Linked DNA regions of Coturnix japonica. The protein of the gene in region 1 purifies or fractionates together with the protein of each later gene. This does not show direct contact. Links are inferred from orthologs where the notes say so. Each region holds a gene or a part of one and is shown on either strand. Other genes may lie near its edges. The genes, in order: GAN and NUDCD3.

Region 1 (16,149 bases):
AGGAGTCAATGTGTGCAGTTCAGAGTGTGATGGCTGAACTACTTGAGCTTTAGGCAAAAGCAAAGAAGCAGATACATCCTGAGGTTCTTTCCTGGATGTGCTGCTTCTTGTTTAAAGGTAATTAATTTATTGCGGAAAAATCCATTGTAGGCTCTTGGATGAGAGCAGCAATTTCATGGTTCCCTCAGGTGCAAAATCCTGCTTTGACACCTTCTGTCAAGTCAATCCCTTCCCCTTCCTTGGTTAATTTATCAGTGTATAGTGGTTGTATTGATTTCTCTTAATTTTTGCAATGCTGTTAATATTCCATTTCCCAGCTGCTGCGAATGATTGTAGTGAATATGGACATGTCATGAAGCAAACGGGTGATAGTAGCGATAACTTCTAAATTAATTCTTGCAGATCAGGCTAAATGAAGAAACTATCCAAGATGTGGTACAGGCAGCTGATCTCCTGCTGCTTACAGACTTAAAAACTCTCTGCTGTGAGTTTTTAGAAGGTTGCATAGCTGCTGAGAACTGTATTGGTATTCGGGACTTTGCACTGCACTATTGTTTGCATCATGTTCACTACCTTGCCTCAGAGTATCTGGAAACTCATTTTCGAGATGTCAGCAGCACAGAGGAATTCTTGGAACTGACTCCTCAAAAACTGAAAGAAGTGCTGTCGATGGAAAAGCTCAACGTTGGAAATGAAAGATACGTCTTTGAAGCAGTGATTAGGTGGATTTCTCATGATTCAGAATCAAGAAAGGTCAGGATGCTAAAAGGGTTATTTTTTAATGTGACTTAAATTATTGTGCTTATTCTGATGGGTGGGAACTTCAGGTAGAACTGTAGAGTCATTTAGTCACGAGATCATTGAGTTCAGACATCATGTAACAGTACCAAGTCTTAAACCCCACCACCCAGCTTGATGTCCACATGACCCTGAAATACCTCCAGGGTTGGGGATGCCACCACCTCCTGGGGCAGCCCGCTCCAATGCCTCCCCACTCCTTTCATAGGAAATTCCTGCTAACATCCATCTCAACCTCCCTTTGAACAACCTCAGGTAGTTTCCTCGTGTCCTGTCGCTTCACTCCTCTTTGCTGTAACCTCTTTTCAGGTGGTTGTAGAGAGCAATGAGTTCTCCCCTCAGCCTCCTTTTCTCCAGACTAAACAGTCCCTGCTCCCTCAGCTGCTCCGTGTATATCTTGTGTTCTAGAAATGCTATTTTCAGAGCTAATCTAATAATAGTTGAATTTTGCCAGAAAAGCAGACCATGTCATTGTAGTAAGAGGGTGAATGAAAGCTGTGTTGATAAATCGTTTCTTGTCTTTATTATTTAATAGGCCTTAAGAGGAAAAAAGAAACCCATTGACACTCAATGATATAATGTTGATCTCAGAGAGAGAAAGCAAGTAGCACATTTGTAGTGAAACTTCAGAGAATTCTTAATTCCGTTCGATTTTGTTACTTATTCCAAACGCTGTGTAAAGTTTTTGTTAGTCTGTGTGTGAATGCATTGGCATCATCCCATGGAGTCTGGGGAATGTTGAGTTGGTCTCTTTCTCTAGGTTCACATGAAGGATGTCATGTCAGCAGTGTGGGTTTCAGGCTTAGATGCGGCGTATTTACGTGAGCAGATGATGAGCGAACCTCTGGTACGGGAGATTGTGAAAGAATGCAACAATATCCCACTCACGCCACCTCAGCAGGGAGAGGCCATGCTGGCCTCATTCAAGCCCCGCGGTTACTCGGAGTGTATCGTGACCGTTGGTGGAGAAGAAAGAGTGTAAGTATTGAGTGGCACTGCGGGTTGATATGAGTGGGCAGATAGAAACATCAGGGTGGAGCATCTGAGAACGCAGCATTTGCACCTCAGTCCTAAAAATAATGCAGGTCAATACAACGTGAATGAGGTGTGCCTGCTTTTTTATGTCTGGTGTGTAGAAAACTAAGCTTCCATTTGGTTTGGAGATTTTCTCCTTATCAGGGGAATGCTGTGCTCTATGAATGTGTGCTGTGGACAAATTGGCTTTAGATACAAGTAGTTAATGGTGAACTTGTAAAACTGTGTTTTGGTTTTGTTTGTTCCCCACCTTGTGTTCAGATCCCGGAAACCAACCTCAGTGATGCGGTGTATGTGTCCTCTTTATGATCCCAATAGACAGCTCTGGATTGAACTTGCTCCTATGAGTATTCCAAGGATCAATCATGGAGTATTGTCAGCAGGTAAAGGGGAACTTTGTTTTTGTAAAGGCAGCGTTATGGAAACATACCAATGCCTCAAAGTGTGAGATACAGTTTACGTATGTTTTTTCTTTAAGATTATGTTGCACTGGGCTTATTTCATGCTTCCCCTTTGTCTGCCCAAAACATCACTTTATTCTGTGAAAATCCCTGTCATATGAGTGTCTTATAGTCGCTATTCCCGCAGTCTCTGTGGGAATCTGCTCATCTGTTTCTCCAGGAGTATTTTGTGTTTTAAGTAAATTCTAGTTGCTGCATCACTGAATATGTTAAAGAGTATCTGTGGCGGTTGGCTTGAGTATGGGTTTGAACATGTGCTTTACTTCTTCCAGTCCCAAGTGTGACCTGTGACCGATCTGAAGCTCTTAGCAAAGCGTAGCGTACAGCTCACCATTCTGATTGCCTTGCTCTGTACATGAGTCCTGTTTTTAAGATCACGTTGCATTTTGTTTTACAGAAGGGTTTTTATTTGTGCTCGGTGGTCAGGATGAAAACAAGGGAACGTTGAGCTCGGGAGAGAAATATGATCCAGACACCAACTCCTGGAGTTCGTTGCCACCGATGAATGAGGTAAAGATCATTGTTTGACTCTTGGAGTTGGTTTTTCTTTTTCCTACTTCAGCAAAACATTCAGTTGTTTCTGCAGGATTATAGTCTGAATCTCTGATCATTTGCATCGTGTGCATTCAGAGTCATGGTAGGGTTTGCTTCCTGCTTATACCCTGTTGTTACCTGCAGCCTGCTAACAGCTGCAGGAGTGGCAAACACAAACTGTTACTGAAGAGCTGCTTCAAAGAGGAACTTGAGGAATTCCTTGCTGTCGAGGGCCTGTACTTGAGCTCAAAGGAAATCCACGTTTGTAGTTGTGATGCACTTTGAGAGTACAGACCTGAAAAGTTTCATTGTGGAGACCACTGCTGTGCAGACTGAAATACGGCCAAGCTCTGTTCTAAGGTTTCTGCAGGGTCTCTTTTGCTTTTGCTGCTCTGTTTGTTTGTTTTTAGTACCCTTTGTATTCTTTAATTGGAGAATATAATAATCTTATTTGTGAGATTCAGACTTCATTGTATTAAAAAATAACAGAAAAACCACTGTAGTAATTGATACCAGTATCACTTGTCTGACAGACACGAGAGAAGATTGTATTGACTGCTCAGTTAGCAGTTATGTTTTACAGTGCTGACCTCATTGATATCCCTTAGGCACGACATAATTTTGGTGTGGTGGAGATTGATGGAATTCTGTATATTCTGGGAGGTGAGGATGGTGAAAGGGAACTAATCTCTATGGAGAGTTACGATATCTATAACCGTACCTGGACCAAGCAGCCGGACTTGACCATGGTTAGAAAGGTAAGAGCTACATTGTATTTTACCACCTTCCTTGCTGTTAAACAGTTTCAACTATCCTGTGTATCATAAGGCTTTGTTTCAATTAGAAACTCTTAACAAGTGGCAGGGAAATGAGAGCAGGTCCCTTGTTAATGTGTATGTTAGAACCATGACTGAATGTTTATGTATAATATACATAAATGTGCAGAAGTGTGTGTATAATCAATTTTCAGCTCTGGATATCGCGTGTTTATGTGCAATTTTCTTTTTTCTTTGAGATTGGCTGCTATGCAGCTATGAAGAAGAAAATCTATGCAATGGGTGGAGGCTCCTATGGGAAGCTCTTTGAGTCTGTTGAATGTTACGACCCCAGGACTCAACAGTGGACAGCCATCTGTCCTCTGAAAGAGAGAAGGTGGGTGAAGGTGAAGCTTGGGGGGAGAGGGATGGATAGATTGCTGGAGTGTATCCAGTCTGAGCCCTCCAAAATGGTTCCTAAAGCACCATTATTATGGTGGCTGAGTAAAGAGAAGAATCCAACCCATCAAAATGTGCTTAGCATGTCACAAGCAATGCTATCCTGAAGCAAAATGAAGAGTAGAGGTTGTCATCCAATTGGAACTTCAGCTTTTTCTCTAGAGATAAATACATTACTGTAGTGGTAAATACATATATTTTTTTTCATCAATACATGTTATATCTAAAAATACATGTAAAAAATGAGAGAACTCAGAAGGATGGAATGTTTTATTTTATCTTCTGATTGTGTTTTTTGCTTCTTTTTCCTTTCTGGATTCCCAGGTTTGGGGCAGTGGCCTGTGGAGTTGCCTCTGAGCTTTATGTGTTTGGGGGGGTCAGGAGTCGTGATGACAGCCAAGCCAGCGAGATGGTGACGTGTAAATCTGAATTTTATCATGATGAATTTAAAAGGTAACTAATTACAGCTATAAACCTGGGGAATGCATACAGATCAGCAGTCACAGTTGGTTGGCTCTGGAAACAGTGTAGATTCTTGTCATAAGAAAAGGTGCTGTGGGTGCTGTTCAGTCCACAGTTGCCTCCAGATGCTACACGTGGCCGATCTCCTCTTGTTTGTTTTGAATTTGTTTCTGGTGATTTCATTTGTTATCTCTTGGCTTTTGTTTTAGAATCTGCTTCGCTGCATGTGGTAACTGCTTTAAACATAGCTTACATTAGGCTGAATTTTATGGATAGTTAATTCATGCTCCGGGTGTCACTGGGAAACTTTTGTACCTGCACTCTTTTCTTTTTGCATTCAACTATAAATGGGATTTCTTTGCTTTTTTTTTTTTTTCTTCTTAACTGAATTGAAATAAGACTCTGCTGTCAGATATCTCAAAGTGAGTTAAATATGGCAGAGAGAACTAAATCTGTTACAAGATTGCATCTTTGAATGTAGCCTATATAAAAGCACATAAAAATCGTATAGCAGTGGGGAATTTATTATATAACTTCAATCTCTGTATGAAATGGACTTTTAGTTGTTCTAAGTCACATCCATGTGAGCCCTGACCAAAAGAAGCTGGAGAGGAAATGCACGTCAAGGTGGTTATGGGAAGCAGACAGATAAGAGTTGCTACTGATCCTCCCTGGTGTTTTTTGTTTCTTTGGGGCCATGGGGAAATGTTATAAGCAAATAAGGCTCAGGACAGGAGGGTTTGCAGAAGAAAAATTCTGGAAATAAATGCTTTCCGACAAACTACCTCCTGGTTTTGGTTGACCTGACGGAAATGTTTCCAGACTGATGCTGTTCCTCAGAAGGTGCTTTGTGGCTCACAGTTCCTTACCAGTGACTGTAAACCTGTCTCACTGGTTGGTGCAGTTTGAGCGCAGGTGAGTTGGTGCCACCTGCTGTCTGTAGCACCGGTTCCTGCCAGGCCTGCGTTTCTCTGTTTTTGCTTAGTGGCATCCTAGGGAGTTACAGGATTCAAGTAAAGGTATGATGCAGTTCCAGTTCAGCTCTTGATTTTGTACCCCATCAGTCATGCGAGTGCCACAAGGGCTGTGCTGGCACAAGGTGAGATAGCAGTAGTCTGAATGTCCAGCTGCAGCTGGAGGCACCTGTAGGGAGCTGCTCAGATTGTCTCTTTGTCCTTCTGCCTTGCCAGTGTGTGTCATTTGTTTGGGAAATTCATCTTGATGTGAACCTGAGTTGGGGCTGTAGGCAGCTCCCGGGTGACCAGGACAGTCACCAGCAGTGCTACCTTTGCACTAAGCACTTCTTTGCTCTCTGGTTTGGGTAGAGCCCGTTTTCCCCCTCTGGAGCAAGAAGTGATGTTACTTACCAGGAGAGGGTGCTGTGATACCATGCTCTGTTACTACATCAGCCAGCAGGGACTGGCAGTTATCCCCAGATCCAGACACAGCCACACTTTGCAGGTTGAGTGCCATCTGTCACAGGCAGGGCAGGGCTTGAGGAGCCTGAGCTGTGTCTGCTTAGGGACAGTTCCTCCTTTTCATTAGTGCATGGCTAATGTGATACATACAGAGACTGATTCGTCATCTTAATGTTTCACAGTTACTACAGGTTATTAATTTATTATTGAAAAGCATGTATATTTCTACAGTGATAGTAGTTGCATATTGTTATCTCATTCTTCCTAACAAGCCACATCGTTTTCTGGCTGGGTTTAATTAACTTCAGAACTCCATTACGTTTGCTTTCTTTATGAGTATAAAAGCACTTCTGGTTGTTTGAGTTCAGCCTTCAGATATTGCTGGTTCACAGCTATGGGCAGCAATGGGCACATCTCATATATGTGTCATATCTCTCATTACCTGTGAGTAGAGGATGTAGCATCATCCTAGGAGCACGCAAGGAACTGAGTTACAAGTTTTGCTTAGTGTGTAAGAATAAGCATATGCAATTACATCAGTGCGTAAATCTGTTTTGGATTGGATGAAAGGAATGAGGCTTGACCTTATTCTGATGGCAACTGAGTCCAAAACAATTCACAGTGCATAGTCTTTCAGAATTGCAGTGCTTAAGTACAATAGAGACTCGTCCAAGGACTGGGAATGTGCGGAGCTCAAACATTGTGAGTCCTGCTACAGAATGCTACATAAACAAGTAGTGAAATAAATGAAGTGAGATGGAATAGTAACATAACATGGAATATAAGCAGAATGCTGTGGTAATTTATATTGTATTTGGCAATAACTGTAACTGAAATGTTTCTGTTAATAAATATTTTGTCAGTTTGTCTTTGGGATTACACGAGTGAGAGCAGGCAGGTAGATCCCAATTGGAGAGCAGCTTCCTTGAGGCTGGAGATGCGGACTTAAAGGCGATGGGTTGAGCTTTGTGTATGCTGTGCTCTTTTAAAATGCTACTCAAGATAGTAGTAGAAGGGTCTCCCATGCAGTATCCAGGAATCTCGTTACAAAGAAATGCTTGATATAAGGGGAAACCTGACCGCTATCAGTTGGCCAGTTAAGAGGAACACAGAAGAGGTTTTCCTTTGTTTGTAGGCTTCCTTTCACAGCTGGTGTGAGCTTATGGTGACGTGCATGGAATACACGGGCCCTGTTTTGTGCCTCTAAGTGCTTCCCATTTGGAAATAAAAGTTACCATCCTGCTTATTGCTTCCAGCAGTTCAGATGGATTTATTTGTCTGTACCGCTTTAAGACAGGGGGGAAAAAAAAAAAGAGGATTCCTTCCCTTTTTAAAAGGTTTCAGTGGAAGCATATTTCAGTTTGATAGTAATTGTTTTTGTCTCTAGTTAGGCGCCGTCTCCTCCGCTGCTCTCGGGTTGGGTTTGAGGAGAGCCATCCTGGAGGAGCATGTGAGAGTTACGTTCCGGAGAGTGTTTGTACATTCCTTTTTTATGGTGTTTTTTCCATACTGTTCCAGCAGTGGGCACAGCCCACATTGAGCTGGAGCTTCGTCAAGTGCTGATGAAATGTGACCCCTTGCCCTTCCTGTCTTTGTTCCTTCCTAGTTCTAACTGTGAAAACTGCTGTAAGCGTTCCTGAAAAGTTGTGGCTGTTCTTTTAAAGGACGTGCAGAGAAAGGTTGAGAGCGATTTTTCACAAGCAACTACAGATACTTTAATTTCTTCTCTTTATTCTGAAGTGCAGCAGTAGTGAAATGGTTGGGTCCCACACTTTTGTCCATTTAAACTGGAGCCCTGTGTTTCTAGTAGAGCCAACCCGTGGAGTTCATTTGATTTCTGAACTTGATGAGTATCTAAACTAACCCATCAAGTGCTGTATTTTTCCTTCCCTTGACACAGTATTTACCACTGAAAAGCAAAACGACCCCTTCTTCCCCAACAAACCTACAGTCTTCCTTCTCCATTTCTCTGCCTTTTATGCACCTTTCTTAGTTTGGGGTTACTTGGTGCTAAAGGTGAAAATACTGAATCTGTCCCCTTCCCATAGTGAGGGGAGCTACTGAAACTTGCTGAAGGGTGTTTTGTGGTGCAGCAGAGCCACAGTGATTGAGAAGAGGATTGCTTTCCTCTCATTATAGTTATGTTCTTGTCCTCTGCGACAGCTACAGAGGACAACATTCCCATGCTTTTCCCATTCCCTTGCTTTTCCTAGAACTCCAATCATTCCTTGTGCAGCACAGACAAAAAAATGGAGGGAGAAACTTTTAAAAGGCAAACTAAGGGATTAGCTGTCCCAAGGCAAATGGTGTGTAACAGCATCTCCTTCAGTGCCAGAAGGGAGACTTACTTCTGAATCATGAAGTAGGACATCATGGGGTTTTCAAAGGTCAGCTGTGAGAATATTTCTGAACTTTTCCCTCAAATTAGCCAGAAATCATATAGCAGTTCTTTGTTATTTTCTTACAGGTGGATTTATCTAAATGACCAGAACCTGTGTATCCCAACGAGCTCTTCTTTCGTGTATGGAGCTGTGCCTATTGGAGCCAGCATTTACGTGATTGGAGATCTTGATACAGGTCAGAATTAGAACTGATATTGTTGTTAGAACTAATTGTTGTTGTTGCTGGACCTCTTCAAAAAGAAATCGTGTACTGTAAACATTCGGTTGTTTAGCTGCTTGAAGACTGGAAGAAATCAAGACCAAGAGATTGTCAATGCTTTCATGTAAATATGAGAACAAAAGTTAGTGCCCGGGCTGTTCATCCTATCTGTATGGGAACTGTTGAGTCCCAGCCTGAACCACTGATTGAGCACCCGGTCAGCCCTGGGAGCACAAATGAAAGCAATTCAACTGTGGGACTGGAAGGGCTGCAGACCCCATATAAGGGCTGACTGCCCCTGGGGAAGGATCTCTGGTTGGAGATCCCTCCTTGGTGAAGCATTCTCTTGTGAACCTGGAATGTTCTGGTACAGGTGAGCTTCCCTTATAGCACCTTTCTATCATGCTGGTCCTTCTGTCATCACACCTTTGTTATAGTGCCTTTCCCACTGTGCTGATCTGTCCAGTTGCTGTACCATCCTTGCAGCGCTAAGCAGATGGTTCTGTGTTTTGGGCCCTCATCATGTGCTTCCCCTGGCTGTGGTGGTGGCCCTTACCTCTCTGTCTTAACCACACTCAGGTGTACTAACAAACACATTCAGTACTCCTCCTTCACAATTGCCAGCACTTGGCCCGACTGTAAAAGACGTGCGGGAGATGTTTTCATAGCTGTGTATCTGTAAAACTGGGCTTTCTAAGGAATATAGAACAGCAAAAGTCCAAGTGATGTGTATCAGAATAGAAGAAATGTCACAGTTTCCTTTTGAGAATGATTTCAGCAGTGTATCCAGAAGTTTTCAGTCCTGTGCATGCTCTTGTTCCCACATCTCCCTTACTAGAGGTGTAACATGCTGGTGGGTCCAACATGTCTTTAAGCATTCTTCTCTCTTTCTCCATGTGTGGGTTTAGGTACGAATTACGACTACGTTAGAGAATTTAAGAGGAGCACAGGGACGTGGCAGCGCACCAAGCCGCTGTTCCCGTCGGACCTTCGCCGTACTGGCTGTGCAGCCTTGCGGATTGCAAACTGCAAGCTCTTTCGACTGCAGCTCCAGCAGGGGTTATTCCGCATCCGCGTACCTTCCCCATGATCCGTGTGCTGACAGTGAGGAGACTGGAAAAGTTCTGCGCAGTCCACCATATGTAGCTCTATTTAAAGGAAAAAGCTGAGAAATTACAGCTGAAACTTACACTGTATGCTGTGCTTTGGTATGGTAACTGTTTTTGTTTTAAATGCTTAAAAAGCTTGAGTCTCAGTTCTTGTTTCGGGAACAAATAACTTACGTAAACATTAAAAAGAAGAGAGGGGGAAAACGAGGGGGGATCGAGGAAACGCCTTCAGTCGTAACCATTTGGACTTTACAGTGTGGGATTGAAGGAGATCAGCTCTGTCTGGAACTGGTGGGAACTGGTATTCCTATGGTGAAGTTTATTGGAAAGAGAGAAAGATTTAAGGTGCGTTTCCCTTGGGGGGGAACCGATAAGAATAAATGCGCTATCTTGGACCAGATAGCTCTAATATGCAGAAGCTCTATGAAAACCAACCTCCCTGGTGTACTGCAAAGACTGCTGCTTGACTGTGATGCCGCAGGAGGCGTTGGTTGTTGCACCTTTCACTTCTAGTCCTTCCTTAAAGCTAAGGTCTGTGCCTAAAAATGGTGGTGGTGTGTACATACGTTTTTTCATTCATTTGCAATGTTTTCATTCCTAAAAATATTTTTAATATATTTTAAATGGACTAATCTAAAATGGATGCAGTATACTACAGAGAAGTAAACTGTGCTGGTTTATTTTATGCTGACATTTGGATAGCCTGATGGACTGGTATATAGGTGGGTGGCATGTGTTTCTGCATGGGGTTTTAGAGGTCATTTCCTTGCAGTCAGAGGAAATGGTTTTTTGGAATGGTTTGGGACAATTGCTGCTCTCAGTAAAAGACAGCAACAAGTAAAGAGAGTAGGTTGTGTTCCTTCTTACTTCGAGGTGCTTGAAAACTAGGAGGATGTTGGGGTTTTTTTTTGTTTATTTTATGTCTGAGGGTTATGGAAAGAAACATTTTATCTCTGGAGCAAAGACAGAATATGGTAAGAATACGTTTGTTTCACAGATATCAGATTTTTGGATTATCACCTGCAGGAAATTTGTACGGCTGTTTTAAACTGGGATCAAAAGTTGGTTTGCTAATGATTTCCATGCTAGGGCACAGAGTCTTGTTTACTGCTGTTTGTCTTTGAGAGCTGGGCTGTGGTTATAGTGAGGAATTCAGTATCTGGCATTTTATTTCCTGTTGAGTCGTGTTCATGTCAGCTGTGATGTTCGACTGACTTCTGTTCTTGGTAGAGATGGGCTGGTAGGACACTTTACCTCACTTCTTGATTTCGCTGTTGTTTGTGATGGGTGGGATGTAACCTGTGGTTATTTAGAAGTTATTTAAAAGGAATAAAATGAGAGAGGTAGAAATAGAAATGAGGCCTCCTGCCCTTCAACAAAAGAGATTTTGTATAATCAGTATTATAACTAAGTACAGTACTTTCCACGCTGCAACTTCATGGACCTCAGACAAGCCAATCTCTGCCCTCGGTTGTGTTAGCATCAACCTTTGTCATAGTTACTGAACCTTCTTAGATCTGCTGCAATGCAATCCTGAACCAGAGTTGTATTCAACTAAACATTCCCCAAGGAGGTGTTCTGAAACTTGCTGTTGCTCAGTCCTTCCACAGTGCTGATGCGTAGTGGGAATTACTCGGATTCTGAGAAAAGGGGTGGGGAAAAAAAGGCCACAAAAGAGGGCAGCAGTCGATCCATTAGCCGTTATTTATTTATTCTTATTTCTTACAGTGCTGAATTGCTGCGAAACTTGAACTATTGACATCAATTTTCTGACCTCTCTTAGTCGGCGTATTAAAAAGTTTATATAATATTTATGCATTGCGGTAAACTTGATGCGTGTGTATATATGTGTCTTTAGGTTTAAAATTTATATATAATGCTTTACTACGGAAATGTGAACCACTATTTCCATCTTCAGCCATCTTGTGAAATAAATCAAGCACTGTTGGCTCATCTATAAAACCTCCCCTTTTCAGAAATTTCATGTTAATTTTGACTCTTAGACAAAGTGCTGAGATCCTGCATTCAAAAGTGATGAGACTGAATGTTTCTAAGTATCTGAACTTTGTCTTCTAAGTGCTTGGAAAACTCTCAGATCCTGTATGCAGACTATTGCAGGCTGCTATCTCCTGAGTCCCTGTAGCTCCCCAGTACACTTGAGGGCATTTAGTGTCCAGAAGGCCTAAGTAATAAATGCACATAATTAATCCAAATCACGTATACATTAGCAGTGTTTTGCAGTTAAAGATATTAAACGGATGTTTACAGTTAAAGTAGAATTAACAGTAGGTATTCTTACGTGTTTTGTTGTTGTTTTTTTTTTAAGGGCAAGTAAAGCAAGCAGTTCTGCTCCAACCGAAGTGTATTGCAAATGTGCTCAGTTAGATTTGGCCAAGAAACTTAAGCCTCTTCACCTGAAGCAGTTAACAGTTGGTCAGGGACCAGCCCTCTGCCAACACCTGTACCTTGAGTTTCAGGTACGTTCTCAAGGCAGAAATGTAGGTGCTCCTGAGATCTCAACATCGTCTTTGTTGGCCTCACCTGAAGATGTTTGTGTTGTGGTTTTGTGTTATGTTAGTGAGCGGCTCCTGGAGAGCTGCTGGGTGCAGGGGAAGGTGGGAGGTGTCAGTTGGGGTCTGTCTGCATGATGAGTGACCAGTGCCTCTCTGGGAATGTGAAATTCCACTCCAGGCTGGAGCTGGGCCTGGAAGACAAGGCCCTGCTTTCCAAGAGAGAGCCCTGCTGTACTGCTAATGGTGTGTGAGATGGATGGCTGGTCTCCGTGCAAGGTGGTTGTCTTGATAGGGAGGATTTGATTCCAGAGGTGCTGAATGGAAGGCACTGACCAGCTTCCTGAGTTATAGGGTTGAATTGGGTTCACTGGTAGGTGCTGTCTCGCAGCTCCCCTTGCTGCCCTGGCATCTGCCTCCCCCTGCACGGGATGACCAAACCACGCCTGAAGCAGCTCCTGCATTTTTTCAGCTTCCAATCCAGGAGTTTTCGAATATCTGTCAGTTTAGTAACTATTGAAGTTGTCCTTGCTTGGCATGGTGCTCTTGATAGCCAGTCCAGCTCAGTTCCTTCCAGCTTGAATCAGCCTTCATAAATCCAGCTGGTTCCCCCACAGGTAACTTGTTGAGTGTGAGCTGCCTGTGCACTGTGCTGCTTTCTAGGGATCAGGGCAGCAGGCAGCTGTAGTGCCAAGGTTCCTGAGGCCAGGATCTGTGTCCCAGAAGTGCCACAGATGCAATGCTCACACTGCGGGTTTGGGGTGGCCATATCCTGGGCTGAACCCTGCACGGTCCTGCACATCCTGCTGGTGTGGCCTTTCCTCCTCGCTGTGATGGGATTGGACAAACTGGTATGGAGTGGAAACTGCAGAAGACAGGAATCATGGTGATGGGTTCTTTCTTTTACCCCTCACTCCAACTTCTACCGCAGTCCCCTCCCGAAAAGTCTTTTATTCTTTTTCCCATGTATAAGAGATTGTTTTTGGAAAGCACAACTCCTGGCCTGGTCCCTGTTCCTCCCCTGTCCTGTGTGGGATGCTCTCCAGAGGGGCCAGCCCTGGGGTTCCAACTCTCGTCCTCTTCCTAAGCTGAAAAAGGGACGTCCTGTGTAGGGCCTTGTGTTCAGCGGTACTGCAGCAAGGTCTGCACATCTTTAGATAATTCATCAGCTGTTCCTCAAGTTTTCTTTGTTGTGGAAATGATGTATCAACTCGACTGCTTGGGTCAAGTGGCTTTCAGTAGCTTTGACAGTGCCTCATCTTTCAATTAAACTCAATGTGAGGTTACATGATAGGCAAACTTAACCAAGCCAGCTCAATGGTGAGTGCAGGCAGGCTTGCATCTCTTGTGTTTGACAGCACAGGACTTGAGTGTCACAGCATCTGCCTTCTGAGTCAGACTGCTTGCAGAAGGCACAAGTGTTTCCATCAGAGCTCCCAAGTGCCTGGCTTCCTTACCAACTCTCCTTCCAGAGAACATCAGGCAGCTTAATTCATTTTTTTTTTGTGCAGTATTTTTTGTGCCTGCATGACTCGGTAAATGCAGAACAAAAAGTGAGGGATATAGGGGCTGTTTTCCCTGCTTTGGCTGCAGCATCTCCGGTGAGCTCAGTAACAGCAGTGTCTGTACTGCCTGCCTGGCTGTTGGTGATGCACGTTTGCCATGCCAAGCGCAGGATGCAATAACAAACAGTAGTTGTTACAAGTGCCAAACTTCTGTTTCCTCTGTATGTAGCAGTAATTCAACTCTTCTGTTATATACGGAGGTGCTGAAAACTCACTGTGCTCCACAAGAGAGTAGCAATTCTTTTCTTTTTTTTTAACGAATGTTACTCAAAACACTAAATCTTTATTTTTTTTAATACTGTTTCTCAGTTTAGTGTTTTTCTCCTCACAGCTGCCTTCAGCCATCACTCCGTGTGGTGCATGAGGACACTGCTCTCTATTAGAGCACCAGTGCCATGCAAGTGCATCATAAATGGCAGCTGACGATAGGTAATAATAAAGTTAGAAATACTTGGATGAAGTACAATTCATTTGAGTTAATCTCATCTGCAGGAGGAAGGGTGTCTCTGGAGCTGTGTGGATATGGCCAAGGACACGGGCGTATCTAAGATTATAACTAAGGAGTGATTTTGTGCTGCTCAGTGATGCCTTTGGAAGACTTCTATTTGGAGTAGGGTATGGATCCTTTCTGCAATAAGCATCAAGGTTTTAGGGTTTGTGTTCTTGTTGCTCCTTGGAGTAGTTAAACAGCCTTTTCAGAGTGTGCTGTTAATTATGTGCATACTTGTTTTTTGAGGCAGAGGCTACTTATTCGGTGTTAACTTAGAGTACTTCCCTGCTGAGGACTGAGCTGGGGCCTGCGCTGCAGTCACTGGTGCTGTGGTGTTTGATGTTTGCTGTCTGCTGTTCTTGTTTGTTATTGGAGCCTAGAGCTGGGTTGGGTGGCACGCTGCTTTGGAAAGAAAAGGAAGGAGAGTTGTCTGAAGGTGGAGAAGCTGGGCCAGTGAAGTTGACTGGGACATATCAGTGTGCAGCCAGCGAGATATGGGTGAAGCACTGCTATGAAGATGACATCTGTGTGCCCTGAATGTTATGGATAGGTCACCGTATGGTTTGGTTCTTTCTTTTTACATTTATTCCAATGGGAGGAATTGCAACCAGGCTTTAAAGCAGCAACTCCAGTCAGCTTTGTCCTGTAAGACACTGCAGCCTGACCATGGCTGTGCTCCGGTAACCAGTTTTCTCAGTTCCTCGTTAACAGATAACCTGAAACAATGCATTAAAACCATTCTAAGTGCCTAATGAATCGGATGAGCATCTGCTAGAAGGTGTTAATGGTAATGGGGGCATCAAACAATAACCTGCTGCCAACAGCTGATTGCGCTGTACAGTGATACAGAATCTTAAAGGATTCTTTAAAATAGCTTATTCTGGGTAGCGGCTCCATTGTTCCAGAGATTATCATCTGTGTGTCAGACTTGTTTCGGAGGAGCTTCTGAAGGTTATTGGAAATAATGCCTTGAAAAATGAGCTGGAAGGCTGGAACTTCTCAGTGCAGACAGTTAAACCTCGCTGCTGCCCAGTATTTGTGCAGGATTTGCGTGTGGCTGATGCACACCTGCCCAGCACATCAGTAAATGAACTTCTCAATGCCATTGCCAACCTGTGCCCTTGAATTTTTGTAATGAAATGAGACTGTACCATACGCTCGTCTAAGCTGATGGATTTGATTACAGTGATAGACAGAAGCATCCCTGCCGTAAGTAACATCTATTATGTTGCTGATAAAAGTCAAAGATGTAATTTTTGTAATGCTCGGTGCTTTTGAATCACCACATGTTGCCCTTAGTTTTTCTTTGCCTTTCTTTTTTCCTGTCTTTTCACTTGCTGCCACGATGTCCTCTGGTTTTGTCAAGGGCGAGTTTCTTCTCTCCGTACTCCTAGCCCCAGTCACAACCCAAGGGATGTCATAAAGGCGGGCTGTACTGCAGGCTGCCTTTACAGACATCATTCCTGCCTGTCTGAATTGTGTCTATGCGCTGCCACCTGCGTGCATTTCAGAACAGAAAACAAAAGCACTGTGGAACAAAATTGCACTCGATTAAAAAGCAAGAGCCACTTTGGAAAGCCTTCTTTTTTTGCATGGGATGGGCAGTATGCTCTAAAGACTTATCACTGTGACTCTTCTTGGTTTTCTCAGCTTAATGATCTCACATGCTACAGCTTCAGCCTGGCAGCATCTGTTCAATTAATTTATGTATGAAAACAGGAAAGCGTTATCATCTGTCACGTGTTTCACCATTTCTTAAAAAGCCAAGTCTGTTTTGATCTTGGAATCAGTGGGACAGTACAGCAGAGGGTATGGCAGGGTGGTTGTGTCGAACAGCCATTCCCTGAAGCTATGTGTAAGTTCTGTTCTGATAGGAAGCCAAGGAGTAGCCCCGCAAGTGGCGCTTTCTCATAAACTCTTTGAGAACTGGTCTTAAATTGCTCCAAAGAACT
Region 2 (13,641 bases), on another chromosome or scaffold:
CTTTCCCTCTACTCCACGAGATGGCGACCTGACAGGCGCTGGCGAGGGTCGCGCGCAGGGAGAACCCACGAGCTCGCTTAGTTGAACGTTCATCGCTATCTGCGTCTGCGCATGCCAGCGCCCCGGTTTGCCGACCGACTCGGCGAAGAGTGCCTCTGGGGTCGAGTGTGAACCGGAGGGTTATGTGAGATTAACGCTTAATCAGACCGCGCGTTGGCTCCGCCCCCTCTCCGTCAGAAGATGTGAAGCTAGCTGCACGCCTGTGATGGGCTTCCACACCGCCCCCGGGCGGGCTGGTGAACATTCCAGGGATGAGGGGGTGGGGGTTGGAAGCTAACCTTAGCGACCCTCTAAGGAGCTCTGCTTCTCTGGACGGCGCTGCCAGGCGGGTGGGGCGAGTTCCAAAGGATCTTGTGCGGCGCAGGGCCGGTCTATCGCAAATCGGCATCCTCTGGCAGATAGGGAAATACTCTGATGAGTTAGTTGCCGGGCGCGCGGTCCCTAGAACTCGGAGTTTCAACACGGGTGAAGCCCTGTGACCTGTAGTTGCGACCTAAGATGCCGTTGACGGGCGGTACAGGTGCGGGTAGTGTATATGAAGCGCAATGCGCGACGCTATAAAGGCTGGGCGCGCGAGTGAGCTCCCTAGAACTCAGCATTGATGGTCGGGAGTGTGGGGGCTCGCATCTGGTCCACGAGAGAGCAATCGTCGTCGCGCATGGGGTCATGTCCATCGGTGACAAGACCATGTAGACGCTGAGCAACTGGAATGGGGGTGGGGGTACAACTGTGGGGGCGTTCTGCGGACGGGCTCTGGGTGCACCCTCGTAGAAGGCGGGCCTGTAGCTCGATGCGCACGCGCGCGCCCCTGTTTCAGCTTAGCGGCACGAGCAGGGGGGGGCGTGCACGCCGAGGCGATGGCCACGGGTGCGACGCCGGTGGGATCTAGGATCGCGCGGTGTCATTCCGTTGAGCTCATCTGAGGGCAAACAGGGAACGGGTGCTGCACATAACCCTGCGCCTCTAGGCGCTCGCGCGTGCCTCCCCGCGCGCTTTGCGCGGGAGATGGAGGAGGAGGAACTTGAGGGGGGCCTATGGGAAACCTGAGGGATAGAAGGACTGGGGGTCTCTGTAGAACTGAAGGGTGTGGGAGAAGATGACCAAGGAGCATCTGCAGTTCTAAGCGAGGGCACGTGGACCGGGAGCGCAATTCTACTGCGTGGCGGGAGTCCTACGGGCCTCCCGCTGCGTGCATGCACACTCATGGCAAGGGCTCACGTAGCGCTGGAGACTCGCCCACCTCGGCATGCGCCCCCGGCCAACCACGGCGGAGCGTGGCCCCGTATCCCAGGCCCCCGCCCACGGATGCGCGAGTGGGGAGGCATATGCCATGCGTCAGCGGGGCGGTTCAATGCCCTCCCCCGCGCCGCCCCGCCAGTGGTAGCGCTGGGGCTGGGCTGGGGGGGTTAGAGAGGTGTTGGAGTCAGGGGGGTGCGCGCCTGATGCGCTGGGGGTAGGATTGGAGTTGTTCCCCCCCCCGCCACCACCCCGTTTATTGGGGGACTGGCGAGAGACTTGAGGGGGCTGTGTTTGCACCAACGGTTTGGGGACACTTGCGCGGGAATTATGGGTGGGGATTCGGGGGGGGGTTGGCCTGATATTCTGGGGGGGTTGGGGCTGCAGGAGCGGGGGCGATCGGCTCTGGTGGGATGGGGGGCCACGGGGACGGGGGGAGGGGGCTTCTATGGGCACGGGGGGTATGCGGTGTTAGCATTGGAGGGGATCTGGGAGCATGAGATATGGTGGGGATATATGGGAGTCATATTTGGATATAGTGATAAATATGGTAGAGTTATATGGGGGGGCGTCGGAGGGGAGAGGTGGAGAGTAGTTATCTGGGATGACTCATGGGATGCCGGGGTGCGGCCGTCCCGGGTACATTTTCATGGGCTCGTCGCGCCGGGTCCCTCGTGTGAAGCCGGGCGCGCCCGGATGTGGAGGATGCGGGGGGGCTGGAGGGACAGGTGGGGCGGGCGGGGGCGATCCGTCAAATTGCGGGTGGGGCCGGGGGGGCAGGGCGGGGGGGCAGCCCCCGGGCTGGGAGCTCCCTAGAACCTACCGGGCTGACTCGAGGCTGCTCCCTCCCCCCTTGTCCTGCGCGCTTGCTAACCTTTCTCTTACGGTCTGGGCCCGCTTTCCCGCACCCGCGCCGGCGGCGCGGGCGCCGAGCGAGCCCCGAGGCAGCGGTGGCCTGCCTGCCTTCTAGCCGGGGCTGGCTGGCGGCACGATGGCCACCACGGTACCGTGCGCCACCCCGCTCTACCGAGCCGAGAGTAACTGCAGTCTTCTAGGCGCATACTGGAAAAGCGTCAGCGCACATGTCGAGGCGTCGTGGCTCCCCAGAGGGCGCCCAACCCTCCCCCGCGACCGCCAACCCGTGGACCTTGACCATCGTGCCCCTTTACTTGGCGCGGAGTCTCCTTCGTAGAGCTGGTCGGGCCCGGCTCACTTCGGCTCAGGGCTCCAGAGTGGGACGTTGACCGTTACCGTGGTGGAAACATCGTCGCACAACGCGCCGCCAGCGCTATGAGCGCCCGCTCCGTCCGCTGCTCCTCGGCTCCGCTCGGCCCGCCCGGCGCGGGGGTGCGGGACGCGGGGAGGAGGAGGAGGAGGAGGGAGGAAGGAGGGGAGGGCGCTGCCGCCCGGGGGAGGCTCCAGCCCGGGGCTGCCCCCCCGCCGCCACAGGATCCCCCCGCCCCGCCCCAATCCCGCCCCTCCTCACCCCCCGTTAAGGCGGCGCGGGACCGAGCCGACCCCCCCCCCCCGGACGGCCCCGTACCCAGATCCCCACAAATACCCCAAATCCAGACGACCCCATCCCTAAATACCCCATAACCCACCGCCCCCCCCCCAACCCATATGTAACCCCTCCATACACCCCCCCATCCCCAGGACCCCCCAACACCCCGTACCGACCCCCCCGCCCCAACTCCCCCCAATGTCCCAAACGTTGTGCAACAGCCCCTCAGTTCTGCCCCAAAACGGGGTGGGGGGGGGGAAAACTCCCCAACCCCCCAGCACGGGGGACCCCCCTGAGCCTCCCCCCTGAGCCCCCCCCAGCCCACCCAGCCGCTACATGGGGGGGGGGGGGGCAGGTGACATGAAGCCCCACCCCCGTGGCGGGGCCGTGGATCGGGCCCACGCTGGGTTGGGGGGGGGGATGCGAGTGGGCGGCAGGCGGCGTTGCCATGGAGAACGTGGGCGGCCGTGGGCTGCGGCTGTTGCGCTGTCACCGGGGACGGACGGGGCGGGACCCCCGGAGCCACGGGCCGGCGATGTGCCCCGTGGCACCGTGGGACGCTGCTGCCCGCCGGGGGACGAACGGGCGGCGGCCCTCGAGTGGGGCTGGGACACCGCAGAGCCCCCACAGAACCCCAGTGTCCCTATGGTTCCCATGGTGCCCCATGCAGCGCTGCCCTCGTGGACCAGCTGCGCCCCACAAGTGACGGAGCATCGCCCCCATAGGCGGCATCGCCCCCACCCGTGTCCCCGAAGCGGCTCGCAGAGCCCCGCGCGGGGCACAAGGTTTTATTGCCGTGCCGACCCGGGGCTGGGACACGCGTGGAGCCCGTGGGGCAGAGCAGGGCGTGAGCCACCACTGAGGGAGCAGCCGGGGGGGGGGATGAGCAAAAGAAGCAAAAACCAGAAATATCCTCAACCACCAAAAATAATAATTATGTCACCAACGAGCTCCGTCTATTCCTGAAAACAACGGAGCCGTCGCCAGCGCGAGGAGAGGAGAGGAGAGAGAAGGGCCCGGTGCTGGATGCCGGTGTGGGTGGATGGGATGGGATGGGATGGGATGCGGATGGGATGGATATGGGAGGTGGATGGGATGGGATGGGATGGGATGGGATGGGATGGTGATGGTGAACAGGGATGGGGATGGTGATGGTGAACAGGGATGGGATGGATGGTGATGGATGAACAGGGATGGGATGGGATGGGATGCCACCCCCGTGCTGTGCTGATGCCGGCTGTGGGCACAGGGCATCCCACACCGGGTCTGGGGTCTCCCCTCCCCACGTCGCCGCTTGTCCCGCTTACACCGGGGTCAAAACTGCACGGCGCCGGGCGAGATGTTGAACATGGACGGGTCGAACTTCTGGCCGCGGAACGGGGAGCCCTCGGTGTCCCAGCCCTTCTTCAGCATCTCGTGCACCTTCTGCAAAGAACAGGGGGGTTTGTCACCGTGGGGCTGCCCCACACCCACCACCCCTGCCCCAGGGGGACATTGAGGACCCCCAGGGGGACAGGGCCTGGCTCCCGGCTGGGGGCACCCACCAGCTCGTGGCTCTGCGGTTTGCCCTGCAGCTTCTGGTGGTAGTCGAAGGTGAGGCGGTCCAGCACGGCGTGCTCCTCCTCGTCCACCGTGGCCATGGAGCGCTCCTTGTTGATCTTGTCGATGTCAATCTGCTCCTCGCCCTCCAGGACGGCGTTCCACCAGTACTCGTCCCCCTTGTTCAGGTTGATCTGGGGACAATGGATGGCTCAGGGAGTGGGGGATGTGTCACCCCAAACCCATCCAGCACCCTGAGCCCATGTCCCACCATGGGACACATCACCCTGAGCCCATGTCCCACCATGGGACACATCACCCTGAGCCCATGTCCCACCATGGGGATACAACACCCTGAGCCCATGTCCCACTATAGGGATACATCACCCTGAGCCCATGTCCCACCATGGGATTCATCACCCTGAGCCCATGTCCCACCATGGGACACATCACCCTGAGCCCATGTCCCACCATGGGATACAACACCCTGAGCCCATGTCCCACCATGGGGACACGTCACCAGGTCAGGGGACACAGTTGTAGCCATGGCCTGTGCAGACATCAGAGCATCACAGCCATCCTCCATCCCTGGTGGGGCAGCCCAAGGGAGGGGGGACGTCCCGTTGTCCCCAGCCCAACCACAGAACGGGGGCAGCCATGAAGGTTTGGGAGCCGATATTGGTGCAGGGGGTGGCTGTGCTCAGTCCTCCTGGGAGAGCAGTGCTGGCACAACAGCGCAGCGAGCTGAGGGCGGTGGGTTCCAGCACAGCAGCGAAGCACCTTCTGTCAGGCCAAACCCTGGGTGCTCACCCAGCACTGAGCACTAGGAGCACACAGCCATGGGGTCCACAGCCCCATAGCGGGCACACAGCCATGGGGTGCGTGGCCCCATAGCGGGCACACAGCCATGGGGTCCACAGCCCCATAGCGGGCACACAGCCATGGGGTGCGTGGCCCCATAGCGGGCACACAGCCATGGGGTGCGCGGCCCCATAGCGGGCACACAGCCCACACGGCAGGGCTGGCAGTGGGTGTGAAGCCCCCCGCAGAGCTGCAGCCCACGGCCCCTCTCCTCCTCCCAGCCCGGCTTTATTTACCACGTCCCGCTCCCACCCTGCTGGGAAGGCAGAATTATTCATTTCCTCGGCAGCGTTTCTGTGCATCACCGCCGCTCTGAGAGCTTTGCAAACAGTCCCAATGAACCTCTGCGGCCCACCTTGCGCGTGGGGGGGGTTTGCTCTGCCCCCGGATTCCAGGGGGACAGGACCGAAAGTGGGACCCCCCCCTGAGTCTGCAGCCCCACTTCCTAACAACCTCCAAGTGCCGGCAGGGTCACAAAGCTGCTGAGCTGTGGGTTTGGGGTTTGGGGTTTGGTTGGTGGTGCGGGGTCGGTTCCTTGCATGAGCGCTGCTCCAGCCGTGCTGTGCCCTGGGAGGTGGCCATGGAAGGTGGCTGCACACTGGAACCCTGCGGAGCTCTGCCAAGGGAACAGGGCTTCACCACAAGGACGGATAAATCTTGACCTGATTACGTTGCTCTTGTGCTCTGCCCCAGCTCGGAGCTGCAGGGAGGATCGGGTTCCAGGTGCCTCATGCTCAGGTTGCACATCTCTGCTTTGGGACCGGCAGATGCTGGAGCTGTATGAAGCCACGGGCTGGGGCAGGATGGGCTGCAGGGAGACCTGTGTGCTGCAGCACCGAGCGTCACCGTGTCACCTCCCATGTCCCCATATCCTGCGAGGAGGGGCCCAGTCCTTCGCTGCGTGTGCTGCGCTTTGCCATAGTGATGGGTTCCCTCCTGGATCCCGAGTGCTGCGTCAGATCTGGAGGGATGGGATGCTGCCAAAGGGTGGAAGCAGGACTTGGAAAAGCCACCTCCTGCCACCTGCTTCCCTTCCGACATGGCAGCAGCGGCCCTGGGAGCCAGCGGGGGACAGGAGCTGCTGAGGGGCACCAGGGCAAACTTCCAACGGCACATGGAGGTCGGGGAGTGCCACAGATTGTTATTAACTCCCCGCTCAGGAGATGACAGGCAAAGGATGTAAGAGCTGCTCGAGACAGAACTGGGTGACCAAAGCCTGAGCGTGGATCACAAACGTTGGAGAGGAGAGAAAGAGGGAATGGGGGAAAAGCTCCTCAACAACAAAAATAATCCCCAACGTGTTGTGCACAACACCCAGCAGAGCCTTCTAAATACGGCTCCTGCGAAGCTATTTTCATCTCCCTTTTGACAAGTGAGCAGGCGTGACAGCGAGGGGAGAGCACGGGGATTACGGCCGGGCTGCGGCGCCGGGCAGAGCAGGCAGCTCCACAGCCACAGCCCACGGGGTTCTGCCTCATCTGGGTGCCAAAGAGCCATGAAAGCACCCAAGGACATGAAATGTGCCGAGGGCTCGGCCAGATCTGGGAGTGAGGGGAATGGACAGGCACCGTCCAGACAGCGAGCACAGCGCTGGCACACTGAGCATGGCTTCATTGTGCCCCCATCTCACTGGAGGCTGCTGCCCCCGGCAGCTCACACGTCCTGCACGAAGATGCTCAGGACAAGCCCAGTGCTCACAGTTCCCTCCCAGCAGCTGAAGCACCAAATGGCTGCGTGTCTCCTGATGAATGAATGGAAGGAATCGCCCGGCGCTTTCGGCTACTCTGCGCACGGAGAAAGGAGACACTCTGGGGTTGAATTACTCACTCTGCTCCAGTTACCTTACAATTCTTCCAGAGACATTTCATCCCACCATCAATATGTTGGCAGCCAGCTGGAGATCCTCACAGCCCTGAGCTCGTGCTAATTTGAGGCTCCTGCCTCCAGCTCGGGTTGGAGATGAGGGGTCCGCTCCCCACGGTCACAGCAGAAAGCCCCGAGTCTCGCTCTGCCCACACTGCTCCCATCCTGTGTAACACCCTGCTGAGCTCAGGACACGGGCAGGCAATGCCAGCTGCCCACACACAGCCACGTGTGGATCAGCTCCTCCTGAACAATATTGCTCCTTCCCAGGATTGTGCACAAGCCCAAATCAGACGGTTTTCAAAAGTTCCATGTTTGAAAAGTGTTGATGAATGATCCCATTGTCTCCTTTCAAACATCCTTCAGACGGCCAACTGATCTGGAGATGCTCTTCTCTCCCATAGGGCCCTCCTGGCAGCTGGTCTCTTGCCCCAGGATACATCTTCAAGGCCAGGCTGGATGGGGTCTGGGCAGCCTGGTCTGGTACCAGCTGTTGGTGGCCCTGCCTGCGGCCGGGGGTTGGAGCTCCATGATCCATGGGGTCCCTTTCAACCCAGATCACAGAATCTGCCTGAGCATGATTTCTATGCATTTCCCTTGGCACTTCTGCACTCAATGGGATGAACCCGGTAGGATTCCTACTCTAAAGTCACAGCACCTTCGGGTGCCCATCAACTGCCTTCTGTTGTGGGAACAGTCCAGCAGCATCACCCCTCTGCCCACATCGCTAGAGCACACCAGAGACACCTGCAGCCAGCAGCAATTCACTGTGGGGCAGCAGATCCCATAACGAGCTGCTGCCCCCAAACCACCTCGACCAGGAAGACGTAAAAGGCAACGAGAAGCAGCTGCACTGACTGCTTCCAACAGGACCGGCAGCGTGTCAGAACCCCGGGGCAGCACAGAAACAAGCAGTGGGGTTTCCCCTTGCCTGGCACACATGAGCTGCACATTGCACAGGGACAGCCAGGGAAAGGCAGCGTGGGACGCAGCCAGCTCTGGCTCAAGCCTCCAGCTGCTCCCATTTTCCAGGCCAAGCACAGGGAGCTGCAAGGCAAGGCAAGGAGAGGGCAGCCCTTACCAAAACGCACTTCCCTGGCTCCAGGCTCCAGAGGGAACTCTCCGTGTTGATCTTGTGTGTGAGCTTCCCCTCCATGAGCACACGTTGGCTGCTCCCCTCCAGCACTGCCACGCGGATTGTGCTGCTGCTGATATCCACAGACACCTGGAAAGGCAGAGAGAAAAGCATCGCAAGGTTCCTGCTCCATTCCCTGCTGCGCTGCTTGGGGCATGGGGTCAAGAGCACTCGCTGAGGATGAGAGAGAGAGAAGAACCATCAGCTTGTACAGATGGAGGGTGGGAATCCCACTGCCATCTCGGAGCAAACAGCTCTGAGGTGAAAGGAAACCTCTCTGGGGAGCAGCAGGCAGCACCGCCCTGCAGAGACTCTCACAGACACTTCTCTGTGCCTCAGTTTCCCTTCCTGGACAACCAGCTCACAGACTGGGTGCCCACTTGCTGCGCTCCCCAGCTTTGTTTGGCCCCCAAGCCAAGGCACAGCCAGCACCAGGTTCCGTGCATGCACAGGGATGTCTGTGTGTCCCCCCTGCAGCAGTGATACAGGTAACCCTGCTGCGACCCGCCGTGAGGTGACGTGGCCCTCCCGGGGACACGGTGGCAGGCTGCCACTTGGCTGAGCTGCACAGAGCTGCCTCAGTCCCCAGAGAGCCCATCTGCTGCCGCCCTGCATGGCCAGGCTGCAAGGAGCAGGGCTGGGGGGGGGACAGCTCAGGGCCCCTGGTGCTGCTGGCCCTCACCCGAGAGGAGGAGACTGCAGTGAGATTTGCCTGCATTCTCTCCCAGAGTTCCCCCAGATCTTCCTCCCGCTCTGCAGAGCTAATTTGAAATGTTATTACATTATCCATTACCTAGGAGATCTCCAGTGACTCACTAGCTCCACGCAGGCGAGATGCGGGCAGAGCTGCTCCAGGCAGCGGCAGCACCGCGGCTGCAGGACCAGCAGCACCAGGCTGAGCCCTGAACCCATGTGGGTGTCAAGCGGCCATCACGGCACTGACACCCAGCACTGACACCCAGCACTGACACCCAGCACTGACACCCAGCACTGTGCCTGCAGGCCCTCACCTGGGGCGTGGATGTGACCACTGATGCTGCAGCTCCTCCAGGGTGCACAGACGGGACACATGGACCAGGCTGTGCTCACCTCAGCTCCCCATCCCCATCATACACATGTGGTCACTGCCAGCAGGTCTCTGAGCTCACCGAGGTGATCCCCAGTCCCCTTTATGGGGGTTTCCCTCTGAGGGCTGAGCAAAGGGCTGTGATGCTGCCAGCCCCAGGGCAGCACAGCACACACGGCCGTGGCACCGCGTTGTGCCGCACAGCACAGCCCTGCACCGGGCTGCACACCGCAGCGGCTCCCTGGAACACCCCCACCTGCCCCCACCAGCACAGCGAGCACACACAAAGCTGGGAGCCAACCTCGCTCATGTCCTGTGAGCCAGGCAGCAGAGGCTGCTGCTGTGATCTCTATTTCAGGGCTCCACGGGCCCCTGCTGCGCCTCTAAGTGGATCGGGGAGGTGGGGAACGCGAGCTGCTCCCACCCACCCCTTCTCCCCTTTCTGCTCCACGGCCACTCTGCGGAGCTCCATACAAGGAAACCTCCAGCCTACCCGAGTGAGAAGGTGCCATAGCAACAGCCTGAATCCAAAAAGTGTCAGGAGTGCCATTCCGAGCGGCGATGGAGCCGGGCACGCTCAGAGCCCAGGGACCAGACGGAGATTGTTAATCTCGTTCTGGCAGGCAGAAGCCAAAAAACTGATAATTATTTCAGGAGACGAAGCTGCGTGGGGAATGCAGGGAACGCTCCTGTTTTGCAGGAACCCATCAATAATCTGCCCCAAGTCCATCCAGCTTGAAAATTGCTTTGAACCGCCCTGCTCTGGCCTGTGACCCAGCCAGTATCTGCCTGTCCCCTCTGGCTGGAGAGACACAGAGCAGCTCTGAAATGAAAACCCGCCTGCAAGGGGCTGAGGGGAGCACTGGGGGGAGGCCAGGCCCGAGCAGGACATACACTGCCAGGACAAGGAAAGCCAAATGTTGGAGCTGTGGGTACAGAACTAAACGGGGTGCCATGGGGCTGCTCTGGGTCGGTGCACACCTGTGGGCACTTCAGGCTGCTGGCAGCAAATGCACCCCCAGCACAGCCTGCAGGGAGGCAGGAGAGGTCAGGAAAGCACGTCCTGTCCCAGCTCCTCGCTGCACCTGCATGGCCCCCGCAGCGCTGGGTGCCAAAGGATGGGCTGTGATGCTGGGATCTTGGCATGGGCACAACTCCCCAGCGCGTCCCCGGGCATCGCGAGCGCCATTCGATACAGAGGGGATGGAACATCCGTCTGGACACCCCTGAGCCCTTCCAAGGAACAGCCTGGCTTTGCTTTAGACACCCAATGGGAATGATGTATCTCACAGTCCCCCTGCTGTCCCCATGGCAGCCATCACCCCTTCAGCCTGGGCTGCTGCTGCCAATTACGCTCTGTTGGCACGCCAAGGAGCTGTGTAGGCTGCAGCCGGCGAGCAAACCCAAGCGTGCTCATTTCAGCTGTCCTGGAAGCAGCAGAGGAGAACGGGAGGTGGGGGAGCACCGACTTCCCAAATGGAAAAATACAGCAAGAGCTGCGGGCTGGGAGCACTGGGGAAAGCTGGGAGAGGTCAAACTCCTGGGGCCAGCACTCCCAGCCCTGTGTGTGCTCCTTGAGCTGCTCCTCACCCTGGCAAGCAAAGGCCAGGAGAAGAGGGACAGGAGAGGGGCCAAAGGACACCCAGTGTGGCCACATGCCACACATATGGCTCTGAGATGCACCCTCAGAAACAGGGTTTGGATTTTGGGTGGGCCTGTGTGGAGCCAGGGCTTGGACTCTGTGATTCCTGCAGGTCCAGCCTGTCTTGGGACGCTCTGTGGATCGGGGTCTCAGAAAGGCAAGTGATGCTCCAAGCCTGGAGAAGGTAGCAAGGACACATCCCTGTTCCTGCCCCACAGCCTGAGGGTGCTCAGGAGGAAGGGCAGCCCTGTCCGAGTGCACACAGGAGCCACAGTGGGACATGGAGCTCTGAGAGATGCCTGTGAGATTGCAGCAGGTGGAACTGGAGGAGAAAGCACAGAAAGTACAAAGCCAAGGAACCCTGCTGGGGCTCTGAGTAACAGGATGCAGCAGCCACAGCGGGAACGTGGCCAGGCTGGGACTGTGGGTCCCCACCACTGGAGCACAAGGCACGACCACATCCTGCAGAGCATCCCTGCTCCCAGCACAGCTCCCCAGGACAGCAGAGCACCCTGAGGGGAAGGAGATGCCTGAAGCCAAATTATTAACGTTGCTTTACCTGTTTGCCTTTCATGATGTGTTTGGGCACAGGCACTTTAATCTCCAGGTCGCTGTAGTCTTGGGACCAGGCATAATTCTCCCGCACTGCCCCGTTGTAGCTGTCGGGGTTCGTCTGGAACTGCTCCTGTCTCCTGGGAAGAACAAGTGAGAGGCTGAGTGTGGGGCAGCGCAGGGTGAGCAGGGAGGCTGGGAGCAGGGAGGGAGCAGAGCCTGCTGTGGCACCCTGTGGTGCTTCAGACAGTGGGGTGCACACAGGGAAAGGAAAAGGCACCCCAGCACCCCTCACCTCACGGCCAGTGAGGATGGCAATGAGACAGGGGGGGACACGGATGTCCCTTGGGCTGCCCAAAGGGTGCAGGGTTCAGGGATGGATGTGGAGGGATTTGGGGGGGATCAGATAAACCATCAGCAACACACCTTGAAATACCCAACACATCTCCAGCCAAGATGTCCCTACCAGCCTCACGCCCCTTTACATCACTGCTGTGCACCACTGAACCCCCCCGGAGAGGGCTTGGAAATAAAACAACCCCTTCCCAAAGCCGTCAGCGGAGCCACCAAAGAGCAGAGCTGCTCCTATACACACCCAGCCCTTGGCTTTACATAAGGGTGCAGGGGCTGTGCAGCCCCGGGGACCACGTCCCAACACCCCCACAGTGAGGGCGGGGGCGGCTCCCAGCCCCAAGCATTACGTAAGATCCACAGGGTTTAATTAAATTAGGCTCGGGAAGGGTCTGTGTGCACACACACGCCCGCACGCCTCTTTTTTTGGGTCCTTCTGGGGATGCTTTTGGGGCGGGCGCTGGGATGCTGCAGCCCTACATGAGCTGTGGGGGGTTTGCAGTGTGGTCACAGCTCCTGGTGCTGCCGGCCCTGGCTGAGCAGTGCTGTGCTGGCGGGGGGACCCTGCAACCACTTCTTTCTTTTCTCTTTTTTTTTTCCTTGGGAATTTTGGCCTTGCTTGGCGTTCACCCATTGGGTGCCCATTGCCATAGAAACGGGGTTGGCATGGCAGCACCGAAGCGGCGCTGGCGCTGGTTGGCTCCAGATGGCGGCTTCCAAACCACCCCCGGGCTGCGGGAGCTGGAGGGGCAGCAAGAACCGGGCACAGCGTTGGGGTGTCCCTGCTCCTGGGGTGTCACTGGGTCACAGGGGGGGCAGGACACACAGATGGCTGCAACATGGAGGAGCAGAGCTGGGCACAGTCTGCTCTCCGCTCTCTGCTCTGTGTGAAGGGATGCAGAAACCCATCTGGGCTCCACAACCAGCTGCACGTCCTCCCAGCGGTTCCCATCCTGCTCTGGCACGACCCAGGACAAGGCGCTTCTGGATGCTTTCACCTTTCAGGCACTGTGCCGAGCACGTGGCACCGTGACACGCAGGAACAAAGTGCCTTCATGGAGGACTCGGTGCTATGGAGCTGTTTCCATGGGGAGGCTGAGGCCGGGCTGCTCCATGCTGGATCCAGCTCCTTGCTTTGCTCTCCCTCTGCCCCCTTTGCCTGCACAGACCCATGGAGCACAGCACACGTGGGCTGAGGGCAAGAGAGAAGGGTGAAAAAGCAGCAGCTTTAAAGCCCGGGGTTTGGCACCGCGCACACCCGGCTGCCGGGTGGCGGGGATGGTGTGGGTGGGTCTGTGTGTTCTGTCTTGTTCTATTTTTGCTCACCATGTGTCATTTTGGGGGAGGTGAAACCTTTAACAATGCACGGTTAAGAAGCAGCAAATCTGGTGCTCCAAGGAGCTGCAGCGCGGCCGCACCGTCCCCATGGCACAGGGTCACCACGAGGGTCCCACCAGCACAGCAGCACACAGCACACAGCACAGCACAACACACTGCCGGCCCCACGCCGTGTCTCCCACTTGCTCAGCACTGATCCATGCTCATTGCTGAGTGCTGGTGCTCAGTGCTCTGTGTCCTGTCCTGTGGGGCTGTCTGCTCTTAGTCAAGGTGAATTATTTAGGCAGCTTGAAGGAAAATGTGTCAGAGCAGTCAGGCAGTGCAGATGTGGAGGGGAGCAGGAAACAGCCATGGCTGAAATGAGCGGAGCTGGCTGAGGGTGAGGTGGGTGATGTGGGTACGGGGCCAGGCCCAGCTGCCCATAAGCAGAAATGAAGGCTGAGCCCCCACCTGCTCTTAGAGGAGGTTCAGGTGACATCCCACCAAGCCCCACA

The links.
Region 2: the proteins of GAN (region 1) and NUDCD3 purify together in Homo sapiens (co-immunoprecipitation; 3 studies listed by BioGRID and IntAct, counting the BioPlex papers as one, with this or other methods). This does not show direct contact. The link is inferred for Coturnix japonica from reciprocal best matches to the Homo sapiens genes GAN and NUDCD3.

The regions. Positions count from the first base shown.
Region 1 is NC_029526.1:13,708,410-13,724,558, forward strand, and holds part of GAN (gigaxonin), read left to right. Parts: intron 1-402; coding exon 403-753; intron 754-1,558; coding exon 1,559-1,776; intron 1,777-2,094; coding exon 2,095-2,216; intron 2,217-2,691; coding exon 2,692-2,804; intron 2,805-3,436; coding exon 3,437-3,586; intron 3,587-3,843; coding exon 3,844-3,980; intron 3,981-4,366; coding exon 4,367-4,495; intron 4,496-8,389; coding exon 8,390-8,499; intron 8,500-9,431; coding exon 9,432-9,613; 3' UTR 9,614-16,149. UniProt on the Homo sapiens protein: Probable cytoskeletal component that directly or indirectly plays an important role in neurofilament architecture.
Region 2 is NC_029537.1:87,737-101,377, forward strand, and holds the end of NUDCD3 (nudC domain-containing protein 3), read right to left. Parts: intron 11,599-13,641; coding exon 11,466-11,598; intron 8,289-11,465; coding exon 8,145-8,288; intron 4,534-8,144; coding exon 4,345-4,533; intron 4,226-4,344; coding exon 4,115-4,225; 3' UTR 3,991-4,114; downstream 1-3,990.